Linked DNA regions of Mus musculus. The main gene of each other region encodes a partner of the protein of the gene in region 2 in a complex. Links are inferred from orthologs where the notes say so. Each region holds a gene or a part of one and is shown on either strand. Other genes may lie near its edges.

Region 1 (4,460 bases), on a different chromosome or scaffold from region 2:
GGCAGGACCGCCCTGAATGATCTTTATTTATTTATTTAAGGAAGGGGGTGTGGAGGAGATAATTAGCCAGGACTAGAGGAAACCTTGGTTCATTAACCCTTTGGCAGCCATGCCCTCTCTAGTACTGTGCTTGCTCTGAAGAGCTTGGGAGAGTCAGACTTGGGGATATGACAATATCATCAGGAAACCATACTGATCAGGGGTAGCCCACCAGGAAACTGGCTGTGGGCTGGGAACAACCACAACAACCAGCAAAAGGGCTCATGTGTCCCTCTCAGCCAGAACTTTACACATTGTAACAAAAGGTCTCAAAGGCCACGGAGCTCCCTCCCAGCTGGGTAGGTCCGGGGTTTCAGAGTGCTAGGGGCTGCATGCGTAGACGCACCCCCTCGAAGCCCAGGGCCTGCGTCTGACCATTGTCTGCACGCAGGGCAAGGCCCATGCGCTCACACGATGCGTTTTCTGTCCCCACGGCAGAGGATCTTCTTGAAGGCGCGTCGGAAGTCGTGGTTGAAGATGGTGTAGATAACAGGGTTCAGCGAGCTGTTGCAGTAGCCGAACCAGAAGAAGAAGTTGAAGAGCTGGCTGGGCACCGGGCAGCCGACCGCTATGAGCGTGTAGGTGAAAAAGAACGGAAACCAACACACCACGAACACGCCGATCACCACCGCCAGCACGAACGTGAAGCGTTTCTCCCGGTTTTGCCTCCCGCGCCAGCGCGACGCTTTGGCGCCCCCGCCGCGCTCCTCTCCGTGCCCGGACCCCGAAGCCCCCGGCCCCGCGGCCCCGGGCCCGCGCCGCGGCAGACTGTCCCCCGGCTTCACCTGACTCGCCCGGGTCTTGCCCTTGGCTCGGGGGCCGCGGTCGGGTCTGCGGGGCCCCGGGGGCCGCTCGGCGTGCTCGGACGACGAACTCTCCTCTAGGTCCAGCGCATCCCCATCGCGGGGCCCGGCGGGCGCGGGCTCCCCCGGGGCACCGTTAAGCTGGGTGGGCAGCGGCTCCGCCTCAGCGCCCGTGGGACCCGCGCCGCGCTCCGGGCCCAGCCCGTTGGGCCTGCGATCGGCGCCCCCCGGCGGCGCGGAACAGGCGTCCGGACCCCGGCGGCTGGGAGGCACGCGGGTGCGACGCTTGGCGATCTGGTAAATACGCACGTAGACCAGGATCATGATGAGGCAAGGCGCGAAGAAGGAACCGATGGACGAGGAGATGACATACCACTTCTGGTCGTTGATCTTGCAGCTTGGCTCGGCCGGCTGCTGCCCGCCGCCAGCGCCCTTCTTCTCTATGGAGATGAGTGGCGGGAAGGAGATGACAGCCGAGATGACCCACACGGTGACAATGATGGCCTTGATGCGACGCGGCGTGCGCTTCAGGTTGTACTCGATGGCCTGCGTGATGGACCAGTAGCGGTCAAGGCTGATGGCGCACAGGTGCACTATGGACGACGTGCAAAAGAGCACGTCGAGAGCCAAATAGATCTCACACCACACCTTACCAAAGTACCAGTAACCCATAACCTCGTTGGCCAAAGAAAAGGGAATGACCAGCGTGGCCACCAGGATGTCCGCTGAGGCCAGGGACACCAGGAAGAGGTTTTGGGGAGCTTTGAGCGCGCGACTGGTGAACACCGCGATAATAACCAGCACGTTGCCAAATACTGTGAACAGCATGAGCAGGCCAGCCAGGCAAACCAGCGTCAGTGTCACCTGCAGGGAGTAAGGGGTGGCTCGGGTGCCGCCTCCGGGCGCTTCGGTCCCGTTCCAGCTGCTGTTGCCGGCATCCGGCTGCAGTGAGCCCATGGGCGCAAAGCTGCCCTCGGCCAGCGGCTGCTCCTGGCGGAACATGAACGCGGGTGCTGGTTCTCGTGGGCCTGCTGCCAGCTGCCTTCCGGCCCCGCGTCCGTGGGTCCTCCTCTTCCTCCGGTGCGGGGTTCGTCCCGCCGCGCCTCACATAAGGAAGAGGGCCGCAGGGAGCTCGGGCCCAAGCTGGGGACCGCTAGTGGTCCATGGACTGGAGCCCGCGAACTGGCACCGGTTCGTCCTTCCGACGCTCCGGGTGGGTGCTTTCTCTCTCCCAGCTCCTCAAACACAGCCAAGTTTTATTTCTAAGCGGCAGGATCGAGTAGGGCCAGCTGGTGGTTAGAGATTTTATTCTTCAAGAAAAGAGAAAAGAAATTATCGGTGGCCTGATGATTTGGAAAGATGTCAGAAATTTATACAAATGCATTTAGCTAGTCATCTATACCTTGATTCTTAAGCTGAGCGAAAGCATGAAGTCTTACCCCAAGAGGCAGCGGAGGGGTGTTGGTGTGGGCTCGGAGTCCTAGGTCTGTCTTCTTATACCCTCGAAGAGATTTCCAACTCCGTCGCTACCCTCCAGGCGGGGTGGCGAGGGCTGGGCCGGACCTCCGGCGAAGGCGCGGACTCTGCCTCCTCTAGGAGCCCCACGGGACTTCCAAAGTTGTGCGCTCTGCTGGGGCTGGGACTCTGTACACAGAGCTCGGGGGCGGCGGCGGTGGGGTGAAGGGTGTGGGGGCCGCATGAAGCCGCACCCCCACCACCACCACCTCGGTCCTCAGGGCCAAGCTAGGTGAGCGACCGGCTCTCCAGGAGCCGCGGCGGAGCCAAGGGTGGCTGCTAGCCGCGATCTGGGTGGGCGCTGAGCGCCACAGACCCGGCGGGGGTCGGAGGGCCGCGTGAGTTTTCGCAGGACCGCAGGACTTGGAGCTGGAGGCGCTGGGTGGCTGGGCGGTGTGCGCCGGCTGCTGGGCGTCTGCACGGAAGCGGGAGCCGAGGCTGCTCCGCCGCTCTACGCTGGACTGGTTTTATAGCCCCAGGATGAAGCCGGCGTTGCCGAGCAGCCGGCGTCAGCCCCCACGTGGGAAGTCGACCCTCCTCCGCCCCTCGCGCCTCCCCTCCTTAGGTCTAGAGCCCGCACCCGAGTCGGACCCGGGAGAGCGCTGCCTCTGGGACCCGGCTTTTGGAAAGACGGGTACAGGGAGCGAGGGGCAATAAGAGAGAGCCTAAGGAGTGGGGAGCGGCCCCTGCTGGGAGTTGGCCGTTCGGCTACTAGCTGGCCCAGGAGACAGTAGCAGGCGCCCAGCGGTACACCGATCTAGCTGGGTTTTAGCAGAAGAGGGTGCCAGGGTGCTGGGACCCGAATTAGGAGATGCAGAGTGGCATAAGAGTCGCTGGCGAGCAGCCCCGCCCCAGGTCAAGCGCAGGTGCTTCTGGTGACTGGGATGAAAGGGATCCCGGAGAGGTAAGCGTGTGCGGGTTCCTAAGGAACCACTGGAGCGGAATGGACCAGCATCCACGAGAGCAGACCAGGCCGGAGTTATCCATACTTAGGGAAGAGAAGGCCTCCTATCCTAGCAGCTGCCGGGACTCTCAAGGCCTGGACTCTGCACTGCGCCCCTTTGAAAGGCGGTGGGGAAGGGTCCTGGAGGGGTAGGCCCTGAGCCATGACAGAACGAGAGCGCACTGACACCTGCTGGCCGCTGGTCGTCACGGCTGGAAAGCGACTTAAGGGCTCCAGGCTCCTCTGGAGTCCTTTCCTCCATTTTTCTCCTATCTTGGGGGCAAGTTTGGACTAAGCTGGGGCGGCGGGGGTGGGGGGGGGGGAGGGGACACGGACAGATTTCAAACTGCACTATGTCATGATGCAGAAATCTTCAGGTTGTATAGATCTACCTCTGATGAGAGTAAGGCTCGGAACCTTCTACAGATGTGAGAGTCCTGGATCTTCCTCTCTGCTTGCCTGGCTTTAAACTACTGGGAACCGTTAAGCATTAGTTGAGGCACAGCTACTTTATGAAGAGCGCCATGACATTATAGGTAGATGTAAGCCTTACGCTGTTTTAATCAGTACCTACTGTGTGCACGAATTAAAGTATTACACTGAACTCCACAAATGTATAGGATTATTATGTGTTTGTCAAAAAGGGGTTTCTGATTATGGAAATAGAAAAGTTAACTATCCTGACTTGGTCATTACATACTGTGTGTAATATTGAATTAACATACAGTATCTTACACATCTGTACAATTAAACGTGAAAGAAAAACATCTTATTAGACTCTATCCCCACTTACATGGCCTTTTCTCCTACACCCCCAATACACAGATAAGTACACACATCTGCACAGCATCTGTCGGTGAGGGCAGGGTGCTAGCCAAGAAAGAAAGGGTGTTTTCTATGTTCTCTCTCTGGTGAGAAAGGTAGGAGCTTGGCAGTAGATGGCAAGGTTTCTAAGCACTCAGGCAGGAGTATCTGTCGCACCAGATACACTGTGCCATCCGAACTCTTTCTTCAGACGAGCAGCAGGAAGATCACGGAGAACCAGAGAGCACAGAATGTCAACAGGGTACACACGAGACCTAAGAAAGCATCTGTCATACTTCAGAGATCACTACACCTAAATGTCACACTCAGTCATCCAAGCCAGGGTCCAAGGTCCG
Region 2 (5,149 bases):
CAAACATCGGACACTTCACCCCATCTTCCTCAGTGCAACCCAATATAAGTCAGACGCACAGGACTTTCCTCAGAATGTCTCCTCAGTCTTCCTTTAAGATTTCGTGCCCCAGGACTTAATCAGGAATTTCCATTCTAAAGTGGCACACGGATCTCCTCAGAGAGCTAAGCTTTCTTTGAATAAAAAAGGCAAGTTGCCCTTTTGGGGACTCGATACGTATTTTTAAACCTCTTATTAAATCAACCTAATTTATGAGGCATGTTCAGGAAGAGCAGGTAGCAAGCTGCTTTGGTGGATGCAAAGTTTCTTTGCCATCCCCTCCCACACCCCCAATTCCACCTCCTTTGCCCTCCTCCTGCCGAGGGTTTCCGAATGTCTTCGGGGCCTTTCCGAAGCCGCCGAAGCCGCTCGGCCCTCTCCGCTTGGACCCCGACTGTGCTCCGAACACTGTCGAGATCCTCCGAGCCCCGCTCCCAGGTCAGGCCGAGCGGAGCCGAACACCGCCGAGCCAAGCTCAGCCCCATCGACTTTTCCAGCCTCGGCTGGGCGCTGTCCACCACTTACAACGCCTGAAACCTCACCCTGGCTCAGGAGGCCGAGGCTTCTACCGGACTCCCGGCCTGCCACAGTGGATTACAGACTTGTGAAGTTTCGAAACCTGCCCCTAAGGAGAAAGAGGTGGCGCGGTTTGCATTTCCCGACACGCGAGGGCTCCAGGCAGATGCAACATGCACCTTGTTGCAAAGAGCAATTCCCCAGGCCCCGCCTCCCCATCCATTTGGACTGCACAAGCCCCAGAGAAACCCCAGGCCAAATTACTGGTGGCTCAGAAGGGTGAGGCTAGCCGAAGGGGCCTGTGAGAAGAAAGCCCCCGGGAGCTCTCGAACGCAAATAAGAACATGCCAAGCAGATGGGAGAAACTGTCTCCTAGTCGCTGCTCCCTACCATCATGGCGCCGCCTGGAACTCGCTTGTCATGCCTGTTACACATGCAAGAATTTTTGCTTCTTGGTTTTGAAACCACAAGCACGATTTGTCTCCCACCCACCTTCCCTCGAAAGGGGCTTTTATTTTCCATTGTTTTCCTACGGGATGCAATTACTTCGGCTATTCTGTCAAGTTGAAAAATAATCATTTTTGTTTACAGCACAGCAACCTCTAATTAGGAGCTGTGTGTGCACGAAGGTGTCACAGCAAAGCGACATGGAATCCTCGCTAAACGGTCCTAACGAACTCCTCCGTCCCGAACTGACAGGCCAACGGAAACAGGGCCAGGAGGCCCGGAAGGCACGCACCCGTTCCCTGCCGGCCACCCCTCCCCAGGCAGAGCTGCCTGGAGGCTCACCGGGAACCGTGGAGTGGATGGGGCAAGAAGCAAGCCAGAGAGGAGGAAGGACGGGCGAGGCTCCTAAGTGGGGAAATGTGGAAAGGAAGGAATATCCCATTTTGTTTTAATTTTCAACCATCACTCAAATCCACCCCCAGTTAATTAGGAGGGGAAACTGATATCTAAGGCAGAAAGGGGGCGGTGGCAAGTAGGGCCTGAAATCCGCATTGAAGGTAGAATACAGAGTGTAAATACAACGATAAAGGCTACACAGTGACTGGAACCTGCGGGTGTCAGAAGAGCAAAGGCTGGAGGGCCAGGGAGGAGAGGGGCTGGAGGGCAGATGAAACTGGCTTTTAGCCCCACAGACCCTCCCACCTCTGCCTTGGATAAGGCTGTGTCTGTCACATCCGCTTGGAAACCCATCCTTTCTCCCCAGTGCACGCCCCCTCCCCTAACCCTTGCTCGCTTTGGGGGGGGGGGTCGTCTAAGCCACAGCCACCAGGAATTCAGCACCAAACTCGTGAACAGCAAACACTTGATCCTCCACCCCAATCTGCTAGGGCTGGGTCCCCTCCATGTTTTAGTCAAGTTCAAAATCACTGCCTCAAGAGAAGCAGGGGGAAGTGGGATTCGAGGGGTGGGGTGGAGGAGGAGGGGAAAGAAGATGAGGCAGAGACAGAAATGGAGGCAGTGAAACACGAAATACTCCACGAGCAAGAGTTATGATCATAAGCACGCCAATAGTGTGATGTTCTGATCAATATGGCGGACACTGTCATTCATACAACTAGAGGCGCTCTCATTCCCTCCCCGCAAACACCGACCCCAGGAGTTGGGGTGGGGGACCCAGAACCAACGTAGGGAGTGGGGGAGGGGAGGCAACCTCGGGTTTCTTCTGTGTGTGCGCGAATTAAAAACCAGGCCTGGAGAGCAAATATGGGTGAGCAAGATAATAAAAACGATATAAATTATTCTTAATAAAAGTACAAATCCCAATGACACAGGGACTTACTTCATCTGCTTCACAATGGTGCTTTTTCCTGATTCTCCAGCCCCTGTTGGGACACACAGAGGGGGGGAAACTGGTGAGTGTCAGCTCATGGAAATGGGAAGGGGGCTTCAAGGCATGCACAGGGTGGGCGCTCCTGGGCACAAGGTGTTGCCAACTCAGGGACCAGATTTCCCAGGGCGCAAGTCGGGTTGGGAACTGTGGCGGGGGTCGAGGGGCGGGGGTGGCTACCCAGGTCCTTACCCAGCAGGAGTAATTTCACGTCTTTGGCGGCGCTGATGCCATCTTCTTTGAGGTTTTTCTCAATCGCCTTGCTCCGCTCGAGGGCGGCTCTCTCCTCTGCGCTCAGCGTACATCCCATGGTGGCCCCTTCCCTGCCACAGCCCGCACGACTAGGCTGGCACGACTCCCCGGGTCGGCGCGCCCCCCACCCCCCCACAGAGCAGAGCCTGGGCTCAAAGGGGAGAAAATCACGATATCCTCTCCTTGGCTGGGAACAAAATTGTCGAAAGACCAGAATCCCCCCAAAAGGACAGCCTCTATTAAGATTCCAGCGGCGAAGATTAGCGGCGGCTGGCTGGGGTCTGGGGGTGTCGAGGTGAGGGTAGCCGGGGTCTGGGGCTCCGGAGCCGAGAGAGGAGGCGCCCGCGGGCCCGGGAGGCGCGGGTTGCAGGCACCGAGGCTAGTGCACGACCCAAAATAAATAAAATAGGAGTCGAGGCTGGATCCGCAGCCGGAGCCGGCGGAGGGTGGGGTGGGGGGCAGGGTGGGTCCTTCTGCCGCGGCTGCCGGAGGCGGAGGAGGAGGAGGCGGAGGCGGAGAAGGTGGAGGCGGCGGTGGCGCGGGGTGTGGAGGGAGTGAGTTAGGGGGTGCCGCTAGTGCATGTGCATCGCCGCTCCTCGGCCGTCGATGCGTCCGCGGCGCCTTCTCCGACCCCCGCGCGCGGGGCAGGGCTGGGCAGAGGGCCGGGCCGGGGGTGGGGGGTGCAGCTCTCTCTAGCGGGAGGCGGCGTCGCCGGGGCCCAGAACTCGCATCGCTCGGCGGAGCGGACAGGAGACGGGGAGAGCGCGAGGGAGCCGCGGCCAGCGGGGAGCGCGAGAAGAGGCGGGCAGGGAGGGCAGGGCACGCGCGCGCGCGCCGGGGCGGGCGGGGAGGGGGGGGGCGAGGCGAGCGCAGCTCTCGAGTGCGCCTGGTCCTGCGCAGCGCTCCGCCAGCCGCCCGCTGACGTCAGCAGGGCCGCGCGCCGGGGGCCCCGGGGACGGCGCGGGCGGGGGCGGCGCGCATGCCCGCGGGACGCGTCAGACAAGCGGGCGCGCGCGCGCGGCGCCGCCCACTCTCGGGTCCCCCTCCCCCCGCGGCTCCCGGAGCGTGCCGGGCTGGGGAGGGCGGGGCCTGGGGCCGGGCGCGCGCCTGCGCCCCACCCCGCCCCACCCCGGCGGGTCTCGCGCGCCCGGCCCGCCTCCTGTCAACCCCAGCGCGGCGGTCAGGTGGTCCCCAGCCCTGGGCCTGAGCCTCCAGCTTCCTGGTCCCTCGGGCTCTGGGTCGTGTCTCCGGCAGATCGCCTTACCGATTGTTCTCCTTCGCGGCTGGAGGTGTAGCCCCTAGTCGAGCTATGGTGCCTCCGCAGATGTGAGGAGGTAGTGGGTCAGGATAAACCCGCTCACTCCATAATAACGCGCTGGGGCTCAGTGACGGATTTGGGTCCGCATTTATTGAGCATCTAGTGTCTAGAGACTGGGCTAGTAGAGAGGAAAGTAGCAGGCAGAGAAGAGGCAAGGCCTGCTCCGCAGGAGTTTTTGCCTCCCTTAGCCAATGTGAGCCTTACCGCGAGATGCCCACAACCTCTGTCGCTAGAGATGGTTACCATCCTAGGATGGCTTGATGCCAAAGGCCCAGGGACAGTCTTTCATGAAAGCCTCTAGCAAATACTTGTTCCCTTAAATTTTTCTCTATATGATGAATCGATGGCCTCCCTTGGTTCTTGAATTCTTGTATCCCCAGAACATAATCCGGTAAAAATGAATTCTTCATAGGTTTGTGATAAGAGATTTTTTTTCTTCCTTTCATCTTAAAATAACAAACTACTAGAAGAAATACACCCTTCATATCTTCTCAGATAGTCAGAAACCAGGGTCAGTTATTCAGCAAACAGCGAACCCAGCACTGGGGAAAACAGTAGACAGTTGCCAAAGATCGGTCATGTTCTGGGTGGTCTCAGAGCCTGAAGACATTAATTCTTACTGCACAAAATAGTTTTACAATCAGTTCCACCAGTCAGCCCCAGGGGCCTTCCTAGATGGAGGAGCCAACAGGCAAGACTGCCCAGGATAAAGACAGGCAAGGGGCCAGTGGAAAACACTTTCTTTTTTCGTAACAGTTGGGCATTTCTGTGACTCTGAAAGTAAACTTGTTTGCTTCATTTCAGCAATGGAGAGAAAATCCTATTTTGGAAATGTCACTCAGCATAAAAATATATTTGCAAGGGGGAAAAGGGGCAATTAAGACCCACTCAGAAGAAAATATTTTTTCTCCTGCATGTTTTTTTTTCATAAGTTTGGTGTTTCCCAATGTATGTTTGTCTCATTCGACAAATGTCTGTGTCAAAAGTATATGTAATATAATTGGAATATTTAAATTTGAGTCATACCTACCTATTCTAGGAAACCGACAAAAAATTCTATAGATTTATTTTATACAGCACATAAATAATCCCTCCTCTATTTTCTTTCCTCTTTGTGTTGGGTGGGGAAACTATTAGAAGATGAATCTGGTTTGGCTTAAAAATCAAGTATCATTAAACTTGTCCTTCCA

Evidence for each region. The genes of interacting proteins can lie anywhere in the genome.
Region 1: the proteins of Gnao1 (region 2) and Adra2a are in contact, whole or in part, in a cryo-EM structure (PDB 7W6P), measured with the Homo sapiens proteins. The link is inferred for Mus musculus from reciprocal best matches to the Homo sapiens genes GNAO1 and ADRA2A. Residues at the interface, in NP_066268.1 of Homo sapiens: Ile28, Lys32, Lys193, Asn194, Leu195, Asp218, Phe336, Thr340, Asp341, Ile343, Ile344, Ala345, Asn347, Leu348, Gly350, Cys351, Gly352, Leu353, Tyr354; in NP_000672.3 of Homo sapiens: Arg77, Arg146, Ser149, Ile150, Ala153, Ile154, Asn157, Leu158, Arg160, Pro162, Ile234, Ala238, Arg241, Arg383, Arg386, Phe387, Val390, Leu391, Phe444, Asn445, His446.

The regions. Positions count from the first base shown.
Region 1 is NC_000085.6:54,043,599-54,048,058, reverse strand, and holds the start of Adra2a (alpha-2A adrenergic receptor), read right to left. Parts: upstream 2,801-4,460; 5' UTR 1,845-2,800; coding exon 447-1,844; 3' UTR 1-446. UniProt on the Homo sapiens protein: Alpha-2 adrenergic receptors mediate the catecholamine-induced inhibition of adenylate cyclase through the action of G proteins.
Region 2 is NC_000074.6:93,808,886-93,814,034, reverse strand, and holds the start of Gnao1 (guanine nucleotide-binding protein G(o) subunit alpha), read right to left. Parts: upstream 3,198-5,149; 5' UTR 2,700-3,197; coding exon 2,582-2,699; intron 2,385-2,581; coding exon 2,342-2,384; exon of another isoform or gene 480-2,341; intron 1-479. UniProt on the Homo sapiens protein: Guanine nucleotide-binding proteins (G proteins) function as transducers downstream of G protein-coupled receptors (GPCRs) in numerous signaling cascades.